Linked DNA regions of Mytilus edulis. The protein of the gene in region 3 purifies or fractionates together with the protein of the main gene of each other region. This does not show direct contact. Links are inferred from orthologs where the notes say so. Each region holds a gene or a part of one and is shown on either strand. Other genes may lie near its edges.

Region 1 (7,542 bases), on a different chromosome or scaffold from region 3:
TCAAAAACATTAGATTGTGATTGCCTCTTACTCTTTTAACATCCAGTATTCTAAACTTGCTGACAACCAATTTCATATAATTATTAAAACCAAAGTAACTGCTTTTTTTCTCTTTTGAGAGATCAATCTAATAAACATTGTAGTATCATTAAAACAGTTGCTTACCAAATTTTGAATTATTTGTTTGAACTTTGGAATATTTCCCCCTAAATTTAAAAAAATTGTTTTTGTACAATAAAGTTTTATCTAAAAATTTTCTCTGACAGTCTGTGCTGTGGGACTACTAACACTAAGCTGGGCCCCAAATAGCTACATTTCTGTAATAAGATAAATAAAAGAAGAACATACAACATCTTAGGCAAAAAGGACTTAATGTAATTATAACATGGACACCAGGACATGCCAATATAACTGGCAATGACGAGGCCTACATCCTTGCAAAAACAGCAGCAATGTCAGCTAGGATCAATAAGAAAAACCACTGGAAATAACTTTAAAACACTTCAAGATGTCAAATGGCAGAGAAGATGAGAATTATGCAGAGACCTGTTTGGAAAAATACCAACTACAAAGCACTCAATTTTGTACGATTTCCCAACTAAAAGACATTTCAGCATATTTCACCCACATAGAACTGGCTACACAGAACTCAACTATTATAAGAACCAAGTAAGACAACTAAACCAACGCAGAGTCATGCAACTGTGGAGCACGTGAAACACTTCACCATTTTCCTCATGGAGTGTCCTTGCTATGAGAACAAACGAGAAGATATGTTCAATCAAATATCCAAAGAGCACCCTGAACAGTATGTTTACCAGATTAGAAGGCGAGTTCATAAACAGAATTTGCAGATTTGATACTTCTTTTCCACAATCCCACTCTTAACCAGTGCATACCCTTTTATACGGTCTCACTAATTAGCGACAACAAGAATTTTAGCGACAAGAAGCGACAATAAGAATTATTTTAGCGACAACAAGCAACAAGAAAACATTTTTTTTTTAATTAAAATTAATTATTGCAATAAATATTAAAAGAATATGCAAAAGAAAATAATTTTAGCGACGAAGAAAGTTAAAATTGATAGAAAAAAATGAAACATTATTTAACATGATAATATTTTATCATCTATTATGAATATATATATATAACAGCCAGTATTACGTTTAATTATTGTATTATGAGATTACTTTTCCTTGTGTTTTAGAACATATTATTTATCTTATAATTTGTTTTTTAAAACTCTTTTCGTGCAATATATATTAAGCTCGCAATATTTATCATGTTTATGCATATTGATTGAAGATGAAAGGAAATTAATGACAATCTTGAGCTTTCTCACAAATGTTTCATTTCTTCGTCTATTTATATTATAAAACATTTTAATTAGACATATCTGCTCGTATATTTAAAAAAAAACATTAAATACAAATTTCTTTATATCTAATAAAAAAAAATGTTTTCTTGTCGCTAAATAGTCTTCTTGTCGCTTGTTGTCGCTAAAATAATTTTTGTTGTCGCTTCTTGTCGCTTGTTGACGCTTGTTGTCGCTTCTTGACGCTTGTTGTCGCTAATTAGTGAGACCCCTTTTATAGCACCGAGAAGAAACTACGTTGAGCAAAACACACAATAGAGAAAATTTGGGCTAACAGGCCTCAAGATTGAGGGCAATGAGGAGTGATTTAGCAATCGGGCAAGTTATTATTCAATTTGTATTAAGAAAACTAATTTGCTTAGTTGCCACTTATATTCGTTGATGCTAGCAACTATCAACCAATCTATTATTTAACCCCATCTTTGTAAACATAAATTTTTCATGAACGGCATGTTATAAACATATCGTCGTGTCATATGTTTTCGTATGTCATATGTTTTCGTATCAACCACATTTCGTCGGTTTCGACTGCATACGCGTACATTGTGGCATGTTTTTCTGTTTCTATATTTAGAACAACAACACCACTACAACTTGATATATTTAAAACATATTCAACGTCGCTTTTTAAAGACGTTAGAACAAATTAAATAAAACTGACCTATTTAGCCATTTTTATTTAATGTCAAAAAAACGCATCACTAGAATAGTTGTGGAAAAAAATTCTGAAGGGTTAAAATAAAGTCCAGATATGTTTTTTGCAAGTCAGACACCGGATCTTCAAGACATATGACTGTCATGTGTTTTTTTGGCCGTTTTAATTACAAACCATCGAGTTAAAATTAGCATGGTTCTTATATAAAATGGTTGTTCAAAATCCAACTATTCAATATTTCATTGACAATTTTTTTTTATACATCCTTGATACATGAAGATGAAAACAGTCTTAACTTTTTATATTTAATCATAAATTTTGAAAACTGCATTTTATTTTAGAAAAAATAATGTATTTTGTACAAACCAGGTGCCAATCTGAAAATTAATCAAAATCTAAAAATTTCATCACACGAAACACCAACCTTACACTATTAACTAGTAATTTTTAGTACTGAAAAGTATTTAATAACTTTTTTTATGATTCAAGCGATCACCAGAACCACGACTTTAAAAAAAAATTATTTCCGGATTTTGTAGTCATTTCCTGTCCGTGTACTGATCCAATTTTTATTTCATACGAAAACATATGACGCCGTTTTTTTGACATACAAAAATCGCAAAGTAATCGGAAACAGTAAAAAATCGTAGAAATCATTGACAAAAAAAACTAGATACCTAAAATCAATCTACAGGACATGCTTTTTAAATCTGAGTAAACACCTAAATAAAAACTCAACAGTAAAAACCGTAAGCAGTGAAAATTGTTATTAGTACGAAAACACATTACACGATGATATGTATCTTTTTGTAATTTCTACAATTGAACATAATTTCAAAAGACTAAATAACTAGCTATAGTGTTTCCTTCAAATAAAATGTCAATTGACTTTACTTTTGATGGTGGAACCACAGTGATTTTCTTGAAATTGTAGTGTGACATTTTGACTGATGTTGCAAAATCTGGCACACACGTGAAAAGGAAGTTGACAATTCACCAGGAGTGAATTATTTATTGGATTTTCATTGGTGAAAATAATGATAAGTCTACCAATAAAAGATTGATGAAAAATAATCAACTACAACGGACTATTTTGGTGACAATTAAAAGATTTTTCTCCAAGAAAACATGACAATAAATATCAAAGACATGAAAATAATAAATTGAACTTTTTTCAAAATTTATATGAAATTTAAAATTGTGAAGATTTTCGAGAAAATATATTTTCCGTAGTATTAACAGGATCTCTCCTCACTAGTTATAGTTTATCATTTTTTGTGACTTCCGGTTTTTATTGGCTTGTCCGAAAAAAACAGTTAGGCATCCTGACCCAATCTAATATACGATAACTCTGTTGATTGTCGAGCAGTAAGCCAGGATCCCAGGGTATCCGGAAAAAAATGGACAGTGTCAGTTTTGAAGACATAAATCAGTCAGAAATCAAAGGTTAAAAACGCTGTTTGACCCGAAGTTTGATTCACAGGGCCTGTATATTTTTTTATACAGTAGTTTTCATCAAATAAACTATTTTTATTAGTGCATATTGATTGGTGTATTATGTGATGTGATTTCAGTGCCAATTTTGGTTTCAAATTTCTCATTTGATGTGGCCCATCGATAACCAAACAAGTATATATACTCATATCTAGATAATAGTCCAAAAAATGTACAAATGGTTGGACCATATGAGGTGGGTCTCATTGGGGTCTAAGCGTGACGCGGGATTGTCGATTTTTTGTAAGCGTGACACGTGAAAGTCAAATTATTGTGGCGTGAAAACAGGAAATTAGGTCTTGCGGGACCCGGGAAATGACAAAAAAATGAGAATTGCTTATGTACATAGTGTAAGCGGGATACGGGAATCTGACAAAACAGTAAGCGGGATCCGGGATCGGAACCCCCCAATGAGACCCCCTATGAGAGGGGGGATGGACCTTTATAGGGACTCCAGATCAGGTGTTTTTGAGCTCGGGATTTCAGGATTGATCCTTTCAGGATCTGGGAATTCATCATTCGAATTTCGGGATGTCGGGATTTGATTTTTTTTAAAATTAGTGACCTCAAGCATGTCAGGATTTCATGTTTTTAAACCGGGGATTTCTGGATCTGGACCCCTCTGACCCCCCATGATATGAGATACTCATATGGTCCAAATACTCATATGACGCGGAACATTAATATCTCTAAAGTAGGGATGTCAATGAGTTCTTGAGTACTCGAGTAACGCTCAGTAGTACCAAGTATCGATTACCAAAGTGATACTCAACTAATTGGTTTCCTGTTAGAATGTTGTTGCTTTCTTAGCTTAAACAAAAAATAATTTTATTGAGAGCACTCGCCAGGAAATTAAATATTAATCAAATATATCAAAAATTAAGACAGGATTGGAATGTTTGCAATTTAAGTTATTTAAAATTGCTCCAAACAGAGGTAGGATATATGAACAAGTGCACTTATCTAGGCCTACATTGTAAGCATATCTTAGTCATTCTCCCACCTCTGTACCCTCAGAGCATATATTTTCATCAGCGGAACTGTTTTTTATCTAACAATCTTGAGAAGTCTCCTTGTTCCAGAAAAAGTTGACAGATAATAACAAATTTGTTGCACCCTATGTCCGCACTTAGAAATTGATTGAAGGCATCAGTAAGTTCTAATCATCACCCCTTTGTCTATATCGTTCCCGTGTTATCTACCCGCGAGCTTACACCTTTGAAGGTAATGGAAAGCCAGCTGGACTCAGTAACAACAAAATAAATAAAAATTGAAAATAAGTCACTGAGGCCAGGGCTGGACTAGGGTGTGAACATGTGGGGGTGAATGGGAGGGAACATGATTTTGGGCAAACAGACATGGATTCCCCAAAAAGATCATAAGAGGCAATTTGTGATTTTAGCCAAAATAAGATATATACACATGATACATTTTCAGTGCAAAAATATCTCAATTTTTGTATTTCAATATTGAAAAGTGCATTTATTAAGCATGTTTAAAGCAGTAGTAGTATCATTCAGGACTTCTGATTTATAAAGAAGCTTTTCCAAAAAATTAATAAATAGCTGCTGGATTGATCCTTCTATAAATCAACCCCTTCCAATGGACCAAATTAATAAACAATTAATAAACAATTTGGTATTCAGAAAGTTTGCTAACCAAATGTTGTTGCCTTTGCTGTACAGTTGCTATTTTCTGCATGCGCACTTTGTAATATTTTCCCTGGAGTCCAAAGAAAAAAAAATTGCTCAGTGTTAAACTAAAATCCCATACAAGGTATTGTATCCCAAACAGGATATTATTAACCATTTGGAAGATAATAATCAACCTGCTCAGTATTATCTGGTTTGTCAAACTTATTTGTTTCTCACTGTTATGAGCATTATATTTTTTTATCTACATGTACAAACCAATCCACAGTATTTGGTTTGCCATGTCTTTTTTAAATAACTTTTGGTTTTATACATTTACAAAAAAAACCCACTTTTTATACATGTATAACCATAATTATATACTGTGGGTTCATTTATTTTCGTGTGTATTAATTTTCGTGGATTGAGGAAATCTTGCATTTTCGTGGATATTTGATTTCGTAGTTTTGTCAAAGTCTGTACGCAACCCAATAGCAAATTTGTGATTCTTTGAACATAATAAATCTTGTACCAACAAAAACCACAAAAATTGGTATCCCACAAATAATAGTGAATCCACAGTAATAGGTTTTGTGTAGATCAATATACATCCCAAATTTTGAAAAGGTATTTATACATATTTATTCATTGTAAATGTTTTGGTGCATTTGTATTTTGCAACACATATAATTCTTTGAACATATGGATCCTCTTGAAAGTTTAATTACCAAATAGGAAGTTTTGAAAAACTAGTGTGTTACACCCGTCAGTTAACATTTTTACTGGAAAGGCAAATAGGAATGAAATTTGGAAATTTTATTTTTTTAAAAGGCAGATGGATGCAGTTTTTTGCTTTGGAGGACAGAAGGGTAGGGGTGAGTACTCAAAAGGGTGGGTCTCCCTTCTATTCAGGACAGGCAGGAACACTGTTTGTATTTAAGTCTGCAATTATGTTGTAGACAATTGATTGAGCCATATGGCATATCTTTTTCTCATAAAAGTGTTTTTTTATTTCAGAGAATACAGATGAAGCAATAAGTAAAGATATAGAAATCTGTATCAGTCAGTTCACACAGACATTAGAAGAAAACTTAGCATCATTTATTGATGTCGCCTCATTAATAGATTACACTAAAAAGGGGAGGCAACCAGCTGAAAAGCCAATATTTAAATGTGGAGAATGTGGGAAAATTTTCCAGTTGAAACACCATTTACAGGTAAAATGCATATTAGTCAATGAATCTGATTTTATCATGCCTGCATCAAATGACCCTGACATATATGTATGACACCTTGAGCTATATTTCACCTTTTAAGGGAAATATGGAAGATGAAGATTTCCTTCCTGTCTTTCAAGGTATATAAACCTTGTCATCCTTTTCATGTTGTATTAATGTCTATAAAATCAATTTTAAGATTTGTGAATAAGTTATCTAAATATTGTCAGTTACTTTTAGGAAACGGGTAAAATATATTAAAGTCTATCTGATAGAATCATTGTTAGTGATACATGTTTGTGTGGCTGGGTTTGGTTGACTATGACCTTATTTTCAAGGATCATTGATCAATATAAACATCATAAAGTTCTTCTGAAAAGATTTATTTTCAGTTTCTATACATTTGTAGGTAATAGGGCATTCATTATTTTTCTGAATGTTCTTTTATTAGGAGAATATTCCATGTTTAACTCTTCAAACAATAGACTATTTATACATGTATCTATATAAAGATTTGTGTTCTATTTCTAACTTCGAAACTTTCCACAAAATTGCGGACATGAAAGAAAACACCATTACAGAAAACAAAAACATTGAATGCAAAATGTAGCGATGGGTTAATGATCGTCAAACTTCACTTTTGTTAACAATTTATTTGTTTTAGTCTTAAAAACTTATGAAGTATAAATTTTAAATGATTGTTGCAACCGTGGAGAAGGTTAATTAATTTAAATGGAAAATCTTTTTGTGGCATCTGTTGTTGTTGACTGACTGACGCAGCAGAGAATTTATGACCAGTATATATTTATGTGGTACATTTATAGGGAATATCTAGTATTACCGTACAATACTAAGTTTATGATTAATGTCCAAAACTTGCAACCCCTTCTGCTTTTTTTCTGCTAAACAATGTCTTTTCCCAGTGAATATAGCTAGGGTTTTTGTAAGAACAGTTTTGACAAACTACATATAGAATACTTCCAAGACCACACTGTTTTTCCTCATCACAACTTAGAAAGAAATACACACTGTTTCAACTGCTTAGTGAGATATCAAAGTTCTACCATCTTATACCAGTCAAGTTCGTGATTTTTATTTCATGACTTTTTTCATATTCATTTTCAAAATCCTGTAGTAGTTCTTCATCTTCAATTTTAGCAAACAAGT
Region 2 (6,952 bases), on a different chromosome or scaffold from region 3:
AAATAATGTTCTATTTATGTTGTTCAATTCATATGAGTAAAAAAATACAATTAAAGTAACATTTGAAATTAAAAGTTGTTTAAGTTTTACTAAGGTTCTTGTGAGAAATTAAACTACCAACTAAATATCTAGCACTAAAAAAAAAATTTATTTTAAAAAATGTAAAGAAATTATAATATATCAATTACAATTTAATTAAAAATTATCTTGTGTATGAAATTCAGTGTTTCTCATAAAAAAAATATAAAAGTTATTAAGCTGGGCCATAATATATTGATATTAGTATAATAGTCTCAGAGTTCAGCAACTTTAATCAATAGTTTGAAACAATCCATAAAAAATATAGGGAATTATATACACCAATCAATTAGATGTAACCAAAAGTCTCTTAATGCGTGTGGAATGCATAATTTTCCCCTTTGGGATCAATATTCTTCTGTCAGCTGTTCCATCCGTGCGTCCGTAGTAATTATTGTAAAAGTACGGATTTCGGTCATAGCTGGTCCGGTTCAGATCTGTAGTTTAGAAATCGGTCAATGGCGGATGAATGCAAGAAAATTTACAAAAATAAACGATGTTTGACAAGTTTTTTGGAAAGGAACATGACGGTTTTAATGCAATAAATGGATTAAACATTTACTGGAGGCAACTTTTGTCACGTTTAAATTAAGTAACAAACTTATTTTGCCGCCGAAATTTAGGTTGATGTACGTTTTCGAGTAACAAGCACCGGAACTTGCAGAGATGAACGAAGTGATAAAAAGTTGTATTTTATCAAAAAACCTGCTACACACTGCGAAGACAATGCTTCAACCTCTTTTCTAAAGATAATGAATCGTTTATGTCTGAATTTCTTTAATTATCAGTAAAAAATTGATGTTTCATCAACTTGGTAAAAATTGAAAATGTCCGATGACGGAAGCGACTGAAAGCGACTATCGTCAAGAACAGGGCGACTTGTTTTCGCTTTTGGGGGTCGGGGAAAGCGAAGTGACGGTCGGGAAGGCGACTTCTTCGCCCAAGTCGCCTGGTAGCCTGAGCCCTGGTCCCATATCAAAAAGTGGATATTTGCCAACCCAAAATAGATGCGCTGCTCCGTCGCTTCAGGTGCCGATTGAGGGCCTTTGAATTATATAAATCGGGCATCAATCTGTTCATTTTTCATTTATGTAAGTTTCACCGACCTGCCAACCTTTATTTTCACATATTTTAACAATTTTCACAGAGACCCATCGATTTCTGCATTTTGACTTTCATTTTCTAAGATTATCACGTGACCACAAGAAAACAGTGCAAATGACCATAATGTAACACCTCGTTCATTTACGATGCAAGTTATCTAAATGTCTGAGAGCTTCCGATTGTTATCGTGGTGGGAACTAAATGCTTAATACCGATCTCCTGTAAAGGAGGTGAAAAATCGTGGTTGGCTTCTAAATGTTAAACATCAATCACCAAAAAGGAGGTGAAAAAATATAAATATTTGCATATTTGAGTCTCGAGGCCACGGGTGCTATAAACAGTTTCGTATAAAAAACTATGAGTTATTCCCCAACTAAAAATAGACATGGAGAGAAGTCCCTTTTTATCAACATAATTGGTGAAAAAGTATCATGTTTTTTGTATTTGGTTGTGAAGATATGTTAATTAACTTCAATTAAAACAGGTTGAATGATTAAAATAATTTAAAAAATTAGATTAAATATTCATGTTTTAAGGGGAGACAACACTGTAAACAGTTTGTTTTTTTGGCAGTGAAAATTCAAAACTTGTTTGCAGCCACTGTAGCTTTTTTCGGAGCAGGCGAACGTACCCTGAAGCATGAATTTTTTGAAAGACCAGGTAAATATCTATGAAATTCATACAACTTTGATTATGAAAAATGTGCAGGTATCATGTCTTCAGGGGTGTGCACATGACCTGATTTCAGGTTTTTTAAGCTTAAATTAGGCAATGTTTTTCCCAGTTTCTCTGGATAAAACTTTTTTATACTATTAAAAGTACACGTTTTTTTAATTCCATTATAAACTAGAGAACATTCTGATTCCAGTGATATCTAGTTTTATACAGGTATCTTTATTAATCAGTCCACCACTAAGGGTCACTTATACATGGTCCCTCAAAATATGACGTCATAGAAAAAAACTGTTGATTGCACCCCACTAACTCTCTCGTTACTTGACGTCCATTTGAAAGTGAAAGTTAAAATGCAGAAATCGATGGGTCTCTGTGAAAACTGTTAAAATATGGAAAAATAAAGGTTTGCAGGTAGGTGAAACTTACATAAATGAAGAGATAAATGAAAAATGAACAGATTGATGCCCGATTTATATAATTCCAAGGCCCTCAATCGGCACCAGAAGCGACGAAGGAGCGCATCTCTTTTGGGTGGGCAAATATCCACTTTTTGATATGGGACGAGCTCTGACGTTCCACGGCCCCAGCTTGTCTGGCAAAACAGCCGTTGGACGTCAGAGTAATCTCGGACTGACCTTATCGCTAATCCAGGCTGACCCAGCCACTTGAACTTTTGACGCATACAACAATCACTTTTCCATTGTGGCGTCAGATATTTTGTTTTATGACGTCAAAATTTTATGGGAACCTGTGTGATATTCAGTAATGGCGGACAAATAGCGATAAGGTGTATTTAAAATATGCTGGAATTCACATTTCCAAAAATAGTTTAGTCTTTGACCCCACACATAGGTTACTCCTGTCATACAGTGATATTGTATTATTTCGTATGAAAAAGAGTAGAAAATATTAAAAAAGAAAACATAGGTTAATATACATGATATATTATACAATATTTACTAAAAAAAAAGGGGGGTTCGGCCCCTGAAGAACTGTAATCAAACTATCAAACTCTTATTCACCTGGGTTCAAACTATGTTTTGCTTTGTTGATGCCATCCCTCTTAGTCGGCTTCATTCCAGGTTTTCCCATTTTAATTCTATCCAAATGAAGGAACACTAGAAAAAGATAAACGTGCAATTACCGGAAGTCAATACCACATGGATTCCTCTTTTAAAGTGATGATATTCGTGTATAAAATATCCTTACAATAACAGTGTAGTCTAATAGTAGTCTGTTTAAAGTTATTATTTAACGAATAAATGAATTCAGATTTATTAATTATATTCTCTTATATAGGCAAATACGATGTTAGAACGTTTTTGTATTTGATATTGAAAAAAATGTAGCCTTAAATTAGCACTTTACATGTTTAAAAATCTTTTTCATTGAAGTTAGAAAAATACTTTTTCCAAAAACGTGAAATTGATAATTTGGAAAAAAGTGAAAATGGTATTTTTCTTCACAACAAATGGTAATTTAATGAAAATAGAAACCCCAATTATCCAAATAAGTGACAGAAATTTTATAGATAAATTTAATCTGAACTCATAGATGCATAGATGGTTGATCGTCCTGAACATTCATGAAATATTTCCCACTGGACGATTGGCAAACAACAACAAATTATCAATCTATCACCATGACTGGTTCACTAACATGAACTGTAATAAGTGATACAGCCAAGTGCGGTTATTAAGATCTGAAAAATGTGATGCACTGTTTTGTTTGTTATTTTTTTTTTATCTCAATATGGCCAATTGAAGTTTTTATTTATCAAGTTTTATTTTGCGAAAATTGAAATTGAAGGAATCCTTTCATTATGTTCCTGTTCATTCCTAGAATTTTTTGGTTCTGATTCCTATTTTCCCTGAGTCATTTTTCTCTGATTTTTTTGTTCGTTTTATGCATCAAGAATCACAGGTACTTGTGGACAGGATACCCTTTGGGTGCCCCTGAGTGGGAGTATCCCAAATGACCCCCAATGTAGTTTAATTTTTATTTATTTTTCACTAAAGTAACGTTTATTTTAAGTGTTATTACTTGTAATATACAAGTGGAAGTTACTCACGAACAGCATTTGAGATTTTTGCCGGTCGACTGATATGTATATAGAGGGTGGTAAAGGGGGCCCTGAACACTGAAACACGTGAAATAAAAATCACAAAAACGTTGCACAGAAAATAAAAATTGGAAAAAAGAAGCAAGAGAAATAAAATCGTAAATATTAACGGAAAACGTAAAATAATTTATTAATCGTGCAGCCGTTCTTGGGTATCATCTTGTTATAAATTATAAAATGGACATGATGACCCTACAGTCACCTTTTAGCGTCCACTAGTTGCAACTGATTTGAAGGAAAAATATTATTCATAATAATAATTTGATAGCAATTTTAAATATTCTGGGAACACATAATTTTAAACAATCTCCAGACTAACTTTGAATTTAGTCCCGGTTTACCGGTACTTTTTAATCAAATGCGGGACAAGCAAGAGAAATTAATAGTTCCGACACGAAACACGAAAAATAAATAAAGGAGAACATGAGACACGCACGTCGAACCAAACACGAGAAATCGAGAAATAAAATCTCAAAACACGAAAACACATGAAATAAAAAGGCTAAAAACGATGCACGAAAATAACCCTTTACCACCCTCTATATACATGTAGAGAGTCAGTCGACCGGCAAAAAACTCAAATGCTGTTTGTCAGTAACTTCAACATATATTAAAGTAAAAACAATTAAAATAAACATTTAATGAAAAACAAACAAAAAATAAACTACATGGGGTGTCAATCGGGATACTCCCACTCAGGGGCACTCAAAGGGTATCCTGTCCACAAGTACCTGTGTCAAGAATGGCTTTTGAGACGTTTCGGCCACACTTAGTCACTAACAGTTCATCCTCAGTCGCTTCACCCATACATTCTTATTATTCTTATGCATTCATTGGTTTGATAGAAGTTTGTTTTGAAAAGTAATTTTACTGAACAAAAAGTAATGTGACCAAATTTTAAAAATAATATAAAGATTAAAACTTTCAGTGAGATATGTTGACCAACTGGTTTGTGCATGACATTAGTATTTATGGTTATCATTGCTGTCACCTATTAAATCAGTTGCTGTAATTTTTTCAAATCATGTTAATAGGACTCTATTTGGTGCAAATTGACCTGTTGTGAACAGACATCATCCTTAAGGACCTGTTAGCAAGTGGAAGATGACTGTTTTGAGTTGATTTTTTTTTACATATTCCTCATTTCCATTCTCAATTTTATTTCAGTGAATAAATATTTGAACTTAAAAAAGTCAGTATTTCCTTCTCTTAATAATTTATCGATACATAAGTGTTCTTTCCAGGTAATTTGAAATACATGTAGGACTGTTTCCCCCCAAAAAATAGTACATTGTACTACTGTTATAATACACTATGTTAAAAAAAAACTATTAGGCTCTGGGAAGAACAATGTCATTTAAAAAAAACTTCAATGTAGCTTATCAAGAACATTGATAATTGAGGTGGGTGCATTTTTGTTGCATGTGGTATGATTGCCAATAAGACAACCATCATAATCTACTACAATTCAAATGATGTGGATGTACATATAACTCCAAATGTTAAACATGTTTGTCCATATTTGTACAATATGTACATGAAGCTGTTGAATTTGATATCAATTGTTTCATAAATTTTTAGAAAAGAGAAAAACTTTTGTTCTAAAATACTTTTGTAGAATACGTTGTTGATGGTATCTGCATGTTTTTTTATGTTTAATGACTTTAATTATCCATGAAAGGTAACGTCGCGGTACCCAAATTAAACCGAGTACCCAAATTGCACCTATTCAGCAAAAATAGCAGCGGGAATCTTAAAAGATTTCTTAGAGACTAAACAATTTGTATTTTTATGATTTGATACTATGCACTTCTTTCAACATAGGTAAAAATATTTAGATATACACACAATGTTCACAGTATTTATCAACAGATGAAGTGTTACCTGAAAAAGCAAAATGTACGGAAGTGATGTCATCAAAACGTCATCTTTTTAAAATTAGCAAATACAATATGTTACAAGTATCCATTTCTAAAAAAAAAAAGAAAGAGTAAGCATGAACTTATATCCAATTGTTCAAAATATTTAAAGAAATTAAACAAAAGTTCTGTTATTCGACTTTTGACGATGCAAATTTAAGAATGGATGCAATTTAGGTACTCCTCATTACAGAATCATTGATGGTTTGAAGGTCAGTTCAGACCAATTTTTCTATGATTCCATAACGATTCAAAATTAAATTGGTGAAACAATATAGTAAATAATGATACATCTTCAAAATAAACACATAATTAAAACTTTTGTCTGAAGCATATATATAAATAAACGTAGGTTAAAAAAACTGTCAAAATAGGTGCAATTTGGGTACCCTGTCGCTACAATGTATATTAGACTTTGAATAATACATATCATGCTTTGTGCTTGAATACACTCTTGGTCTAATTTTGGAATTTTGTAAATGATATACATACATGTGCCAAAAATAAACATAAAAAGTAAAATGAAGCTATCATTGAACATAACAAAAAAATCTTTTGCATATAATTTTAGTTTATATTTTCAGTTACATCCCCACCTCACACTATTTATATGGGTCTGGATAAACATGAAAGTGAGTATGGCTATGCGTATTAAACATGTAGAAAATTACCTATAAAAGGGATAGATTAATGAGTAAAGTTTATCTTTATATTACTATTTTATATCAGTTTTTATTGTTGTACATTGATATTATGTAATAGTACATTGGCAATGATTGTATAACATTTATTGATTGAATGGTGTTTAATGCCACTTTCAGCACTATTGTGCTATTTCAGGACAGTATTATTTTAACAAGTAGAAGAATCCTGAGTGCCCAATGAGAACCACCCATTTTATTATGGAAAACTGACAATCCTCATCAATTAATTCCCCTTGCGGAATATGAACTCAGTATTGAAAGGCTAGTGATACAGTTCATTGTGTAATTGAACTACTTATTAAAAAGAAGATGTGGTATGATTGCCAATGAGACAACTATCCACAAAAGAC
Region 3 (7,740 bases):
CTTTTGGTTTATAATTCTTCCCTGAATACTTTTCTTCCTCACTAATACATTTTATGTGTTCTGCATAAGAATCTCCCCTGAAAGTAATAAAATAGGAATAAGGATTATTTTACACAGTATCATAATCATGATAATAGGCATTTGTAATTTTGAGAAAATCTCAATGATACCATAATCAAATTTCATTTTCCCTTCTGATCCAAAAAATGAATCAGGATCTTTCCATAATTTTGATATACCGATAGTTCACATGAATTTTTTTATTGGTACATTGTACTGCCAAATAAATTCTTCTGTAAGGAAGGTAGTGCAGTTTTAGGGGAGATAAGTGTTAATTTGATATCTAATTTCAATGTTCTTACCTCTGTTTTCATTTTGATAAGAAAGTTATTTCTTAATATAATCACAGAAATTATTAATATAATATAATGAAGAATGACATGTATGCCTTAATTTGTAATTTATGGCTCATTATTGAAGGAGATTGTTCACCTATAGTGGCAAACTTTTGAGTCATTTGATCCCTGGTGGAGAGTTGTCTCATTGCAAAACATACCCCAAATTCATGAACTTCTTATTTTTGATTGAGGTAAATTTATTTATAAAATAAATATAAATTAGCTACATTACATAGATAAGTCCCCTTTCTAGAATTTTTGACAAGGGAGACAACTCTAAACAAAAAATAAACCTATGCAAATGTATATAATATACCAACCAGAAATCTTTTCCACAGTCAACACATGATATCATATTGCAGTTACGACATCTTGTCTGAAAATGTTTTTCTACTTGATTCTTCTTCAGTGATTCGTTACACTGGCTGCAAGTAAACACCACCATCTCAACCTCTGAAAGTACATGTATGAATGATTTTTATGGTGATTAAGATAATAACACAATGTTGACTGCTGTACCCCAATTTTTTACCTTTTTTACCTTTTATGTCTGTCTTTTTTGTTCACACATCATTGTCAATATAACAGATTCCTATACAACTGTCATACAAGTGTGATGTTTAGCTAGCTTTAAAACCAGATTTAATCCACCATTTACTACTTAAAGCCTGTTCCAAGTCAAGAATGTGACAGTTGTTTGAGTTTAAGCTTTTGATTATACCATCAATAAGGGACTTTCTGTTTTGAATTTTCCTTGGAGTTGAGTATTTTTGTTATTTGACATTTGATTACATATCCACATGTTTATTATCATTACATCATGCATATGAGGCCCTAATACATTTTGTAAAAGAGTAAAAATGTATTACAGTACCATTCAAACGGAACGATTCAATATCCTTTTTTTTCCGATTTCCGTGTTTTTCGGAGCTACCAAGTACCGCGGATTTCACTCCCAAATTCCTCCAAAGATTCTCTCCCAACACTGCGTGGCTGTTAATTGGTTTATTGCCAATCGGATGTACTAAACATTTACGACGCGTGACAACATAATCAGGTCTTTTTTTTGTAACTCGATCGTCTAATCTATTCATCGGTTCAACAAGTAAAACTCAATTTATTGAAGCAATGTAAAATACTATGTTTCACCACCTCGGTACATTTATACAGACTTCAATAATCTAAATTACGAAAAGAAACTGTAAAGTGACAACTCTGTTGAACAAAGGGAATAACTTCAAGTGATTTTGCTACGAAACGGTTTTCAAATTGATGAAAGTATTTAATATCAATTTCGTCATTTAAATTTGGAAAGTGTAAAAATATTTTAGCATTAAATTACTATGATTTTACCTGTCTTCATGTTTTTGACAAGTTTATGACGCGCAGCCATTTAACGTTTACAAAAGATGTTAAAAGTTGTGATGATAAGTAATCCGCTTATCGCCATTCAATAGGTCACTAATCCTTTAATTATTATTAAACCTCAATTGCCCATCATAATATTCTATTCCAGTTAAATCAGTCAGCATTTCATTTTTGAACATTTCTTAATCGCCCAAAATTGGCAGTTCTTTATTGTATTTTTGTCTTTTGAACACAATTGATCCCTGGACAATTTCCATCATAATTTCAATATTTCATCAACCATAAATTTATATTATTGACCATGGACGTATAACTAGTGTTAATTTGTTCACATTTAGAAGAATTTCATTATTTTAAATTGCTTCGCCGACATATTTTCAGTATGCATAGTGACCTGAGCGTAACCCTCCTCGTAAAAATCTGGTGGTCACAATAAGCATGGATCTGTCATTAAAATAAACAATTATCTGATTGTTCATGTTAAACACGTGCTCAATAACTATGCTTTTTGTTATTTGTTTACTATAAGGTGACAATCGGTAAACTTCGGCTTCAAAACACGGCATTTAATGAGTAGCCATATTTGTTAAATCATAACAGACAGAGAGAAAAAAAAAATTGACGATTAAACATTATATATGCGTAAAATGAGAAATTTGTGCACAGAGGACTAAGTTTATGATATATACATGCATTGGTTCAAGAATTGGATAAACGTTATTTTTAACCACTTACTCGTTTCATATGACTTTAAGCCTATTACCCTATCAGTCGTGTGTCGGTATAGATCAAAGTAGGATAAGAGCAAATAATAGGGGAGTGAGCTCGCTATCACAATAAACATTTACCTGATTTTGGAAGAGATTATTCCCAAATTCCTCCCAACATTTTGGGAGGAATATCAGAGTTTTTCGGAGTAACTCGGACATTTTCCTTGGTGTAGGGTGTGGGAGAGTTGGTCCTTTTGAATGGTACTGTAAATAAATCTTATGTTATAGGCCAGCAGTGTATGACCGAATTCATGAAGGCAAGAAGGAAAACATATACACAAATCAGTTAATTACAACAAGGATTTTTCATGTTTGTAAAGTAATATTATCAATAATTATACAAATTCGTATGTATGAAGAAAAGCAAACAGAATGCTATCTAGATTTTTTATCAAAATCAAGCACTCTGAGTTTGTCATGTTATAATTTCATAACCTAAAGTTATAGGATGAAGGGTTTAATATCATACACACCTTACCAAGTAATTCAAAACAAGGAAATGCTTGTTTTTCTTATATCAAAATTAAAAATAAAATAAATGAACATGTGGCGGAAGTTGTCAATGGGATTCTAAACAAAAACTTAAATCGGATTAGATGCAATTCCGCGTTTAATTGTATTTACAAACGGTCGTTCTTTAAAGATTTGAACAAAAGAACAAGAATAAATTTCTTCATTTTGGTCAATTAGATATGATTTATCTTTTTGGTGACATTTCATTATTATTTAAAAGAAAAATGAACATAAAATTTATTTTCGTATAAGTTCCATACCGTCTTCGGTTCATCAAATAGAAATGGAGTTGAAAAACAGCACAGAAAATGTAGAAATACAACTTATTGATGAACTAAAAGTAATGAGGGAAACAAATAATCAGATGAATATAATAATTTAGTCACAAGTTTACTCCTCAATCCTCAAGACCTATCCCACCTCACCTGTCATTCATTTAGTCATTACTTCAACAACCCTAATTTGGTACATCACTACATGTATATGTAAAGGGTAAAAATGCACCTTTATTGTTAGGCGTTAAACAGTAGTTTTCGGCTAATGTTTGCATGAAATTGATTAAAATTTATTAATCTCATGTTAAGTTATGTCATGCTTATATACATTGTATATGATCAGGATTGGTCAGAGTTATTTCCAGGAGTCGAAACTGGCGCTGGTCCTGCGGTCATAGACCAGAAGAATTTGCGTCGGATCAGTAGATTTTGTCTGCTGGTGGTCTGGTGGACCAGTAGAAATTTGTTGATAAAACTCACTGATTGCATCGCAATATCAGTTTGTTTGCAAACAAATTAACTTGCGAAATCATTTACCCGGTACTGAAGCATGTCAAAGAGGATAATTGTATTCATTGAAAATAAAATATTATTTCCTGTTAACTTGAAGAAATTAATATAAAATATTGTTTCATGAAATTGTTTTTAGTGTTTGTCAAATGAATGTCATTTTTGCAGAACCAGTTAAGATTTGCAGCTGAGGGAGGGTAGGAGGGGTCCTGATCCAGAAATCCCGAGCTTAAAAACACGAAATCACGTAATCCCGGGCTTAAAAAAAACGAAATCCCGAGGTCCTGAAATTTAAAAAAAGAATTCCCGGATCCCGAAAGGGTCAATCCAGAAATCCTGAGCTTAAAAACACCTGATCCCGGAGTCCCGATAAAGGTCCTATCCCCCCTCGCAGCTGGACCAGTAGATTTTTTATTCCACTGTTCCAGCTTGCCAGTATACAAAAAGCTTAAATTCGACCCCTAGTTATTTTTGAGTTCTGAAATAATTATCGTTACCATTTTCAAGGAATTTTAGGTGGTTCGTCAAAATCGGTAGATTTTTTTCATAAAGCCCACGAAATATTACCGTTAACATATCATTTGGCAAGATTTTTTACCTTTATTCATCATGAAGGTACCCCCTTTTATTACCCTCATTTATCATGTTTATAAACCAGTTTTTAAAATACATCTTCATGTATGTGTTAAATGAGTCATCAGCTTCATTTCCCTCATCTTGGTATTACTATATATATATATATATATATATATAGCTACTAGAGTTTAGAAATCTGGTAAAAAAAATAAAGAGTTTTACAGTGTTCAAGTGTTTAAAGATAATAATCAAGTTCATGTTTCCTATCTTATACACTTCTGTCAAAAAAAAATTTGCCCTGAGTCATCAAAAAAAAATACAAAAATTGTAGGTTGATGCTTGATGTACAATGTATAAGTCAATTGTAGCAAGAATTTGTGTCCTTATAATTAAGATTTAGTTGAGATAGTTTATGTTACATACATGTATTCTTTCCAAAGCTGACACATGCATAAAGATTAAAGTTTTAAGTATTTTTGACTTTTTATCAAGTTTTTACTTCAATTAATAGTAGAAACAACCATGAAAATTTCAATTGACCAGTATTTGCCAGTATTGACCACTTGGGGAGTATTGTCCAGGGCGGAAAATACCGGTAAATACCACTGGTAAAATACCGGGGGTGGTATTTACCGCCCAACCTTGTTACATAGTCCTGCCAAAAATGTTATTGGTAAAGGCAAGTTAGTAAACCTATGTTAATAAACATTGTTGAATAAAACCAATGCAAGCAACAGACAAATATTGAAAGATAGAGGCAAACCTGCAATTTTTTTTTATTGAGTATCCTCTACGTATTCTAAATAATGAGCTGCATGATCAAGTCCTCTTAGTTAGCTATAAAGATAGAACTGTAACTACCGCTGGGTATAGATGAGGAAATAATACTGTCTCTCTTAGAGTCATTTGCATAACTAAAAATTAACTTAAATTATGCACTTATCCTACTTAGGGTAGATGGGAGTCTAAATTAAAATCCATAAAATATTTTGATTATTTGTCTAAACATGCTAAATGTAGTTTATGTCATACTGTTTTTCAAAAATATAATAAAACGTATGGGTCACTGGGCTTTTGTGGCTACAGGTTGTGCACATTTGTCAGATTTTCATTTTGTATAGATTATGAACATGATGCATGGAAATCCCTATTTTTGTGTGATAAAAAGAAAACAAAACCATATAATTTAAAGATTAGATACATGTATGAGGAGATAGCTCATATATATTATATGCTTTCATGCAGATACAAAAAAGAAAAAATGAGATCATCAAACTCATTTTCTTCCTAAATAATAAAATAAGTAAATTTACACAACACATTATGATATAAAGATTTCTTTATCTGAGTTATCTACCCTTACATGGAAAAGTTTGGAAAAAAATTGATAAAACAAAAAAATCACTTTTATTTGTAATATACAGGCGTAATCATGGTAATTATGATGAAACACATAATTTTCAATATTAACATGAAAAGTCTTACACATGAAATACATACTACTCTTGAAATTTGCTCATTTCATTAAAGATCTAGACTGAATCGATTGTTTTCTGCTAATTCAAAATCCAAGATGGAGGAAGACACCCAAGCTACCTTAAGTATGTAACCATGGTAAAAGTTATTATAAAATTAAAATGTTTCTTGCAAACGATCATTGTTTAGGATTGGCATTTTATGACATACATATATTTTTTCCAGGGAAAAGGCTTGTTTGCAAAGAAAAACATAAACAAAGGTGATGTTATTTTTGAAGAGACACCAATTGTTTCCACACAGTTTCTATGGAATGAGTTGTACAAATACAAAGCATGTGAATACTGTATGAAATCTTTAGAAACAGCAGAAGAACAAGCTCGTAGATTATCAACAAATCCACATTTAAGTCTCCCACATCCGGAATGTGATATTACTGATCAGTCACCATATGTGGATTGTCCTGGTTGTCAGGTAACCAAATTATTCAGAGAATACATGAATTAATTTAGTAATTAATGATTAATGTTCAGTGGCAATTATTTCATGCATATTCAGTATGAGAAATTATTAATAATTTTAAAATAGGTAGGTACAGTACACACAGAGAGGATGTATTTTCATTAACCTTTTTTTTTTTATAGCTTTCAGAAATTAAACTAAATAGGAAATGATTGAAATAGGAAGAAGTGAGAGAATAGTTGACATTTGATTATATGTCACTGTCAGACTATGCAGTCATGCTTTGTTGATTTTTATTACTTTTACCTGCAATCAACAGGTCATAAAACCCTCCCAGATGGGAGTAATTCCTTGGTGTTTTTTGGGAGGGAAATCTGTCTTTCACAGTGTGACACTGTGTTACACCAGAATCAGTGTTGGGAGTATGAGATTACATCCTCTCTGTGTGTACTGTATGGAGCAGGACATAAAGGGCAGGAAATTTGTACTACTCCTGGAAAACAATAGAATGTTCAGTCACTCAGGATAGGGTTGAAACTTTTCTATGCAACAAGCCACAGATGTGTCAAAAAGTGGTTGCAAGCTAAAGGGTTCGTTCAAGTGCAGAGCAAAGTCTTCTGTATAAATTGTTGTATGTCATTGTATGTATGAAGGATTCATTTTTTTTCATGAAAGAAAGTAAAATAGTTTTTTCTTTGATGATTGATAGCATGGTCTTGCCAAAAACTTCATATAAAGCCTTTGGAACTTGTGACAGTGTATTGCATTTAACAGTTTAACTTGTGGTTTGAACATAATACCAAGGAAAAGTAGTATCTGAATAAAATACAGATTAAGGTCTGCTAACAAGGATCTGCAAACAGTCCTTTCTACTTTATGTTTAAAGACCTTTCCGGATACCCTTGATATTGTTGGACAAATACACACTATCAAAAGTTTAAGCATTGAAATTTCCAAATTTTTGAGTGCATTCCTAATTTTAGCACCCTTCACTATAGCGAAAAAAGTGAGAAAAATTCTAATCAATCCAATATTATATCGTAAATGTCAATCATTGTTTATTTACTTCAATGGCTTCATACATATGAGAAAAAATCCTGGTGAATGATATTTTATTCACCTTGAGTCCCTTATCATAGCACATTATTATTATTAAAAGCAAAAACTCACTGCTAAATTCAGTCAATATAACTGGTTTTTTTTATACAGGTGACATATTGCTGCGAATTATGTAGAAAAACAGCTTTGGATGAATATCATCAAGTCTTGTGTATGGGTCCTAGTAGACTAAGTGAAGACAATGATCATCCTTTAGCTAGGCTTCAGGAAACTTGGAGGTGAATAATTATACAAGTTATAATAACGCTGGATGTTATTAACAAATTGATATCT

The links.
Region 1: the proteins of cell growth-regulating nucleolar protein-like (region 3) and GTP-binding protein 4-like purify together in Homo sapiens (co-immunoprecipitation; 3 studies listed by BioGRID and IntAct, with this or other methods). This does not show direct contact. The link is inferred for Mytilus edulis from reciprocal best matches to the Homo sapiens genes LYAR and GTPBP4.
Region 2: the proteins of cell growth-regulating nucleolar protein-like (region 3) and uncharacterized protein purify together in Homo sapiens (affinity purification with mass spectrometry; 3 studies listed by BioGRID and IntAct, with this or other methods). This does not show direct contact. The link is inferred for Mytilus edulis from reciprocal best matches to the Homo sapiens genes LYAR and GNL2.

What each region holds. Positions count from the first base shown.
Region 1 is NC_092345.1:13,257,917-13,265,458, forward strand, and holds the start of GTP-binding protein 4-like, read right to left. Parts: upstream 3,047-7,542; 5' UTR 2,976-3,046; coding exon 2,928-2,975; intron 1-2,927. Other genes in the region: zinc finger protein 28-like, read left to right, coding at 3,434-3,479, 6,176-6,375. UniProt on the Homo sapiens protein: Involved in the biogenesis of the 60S ribosomal subunit. Acts as a TP53 repressor, preventing TP53 stabilization and cell cycle arrest.
Region 2 is NC_092344.1:111,337,201-111,344,152, forward strand, and holds the start of uncharacterized protein, read right to left. Parts: upstream 3,041-6,952; 5' UTR 2,950-3,040; coding exon 2,880-2,949; intron 1-2,879. Other genes in the region: coiled-coil domain-containing protein 25-like, read left to right, coding at 3,307-3,331, 6,483-6,530. UniProt on the Homo sapiens protein: GTPase that associates with pre-60S ribosomal subunits in the nucleolus and is required for their nuclear export and maturation.
Region 3 is NC_092347.1:43,469,440-43,477,179, reverse strand, and holds the start of cell growth-regulating nucleolar protein-like, read right to left. Parts: upstream 3,118-7,740; 5' UTR 3,015-3,117; exon of another isoform or gene 3,010-3,014; intron 852-3,009; 5' UTR 844-851; coding exon 719-843; intron 78-718; coding exon 1-77. Other genes in the region: protein-lysine N-trimethyltransferase SMYD5-like, read left to right, coding at 3,333-3,389, 6,112-6,360, 7,558-7,685. UniProt on the Homo sapiens protein: Plays a role in the maintenance of the appropriate processing of 47S/45S pre-rRNA to 32S/30S pre-rRNAs and their subsequent processing to produce 18S and 28S rRNAs. Also acts at the level of transcription regulation.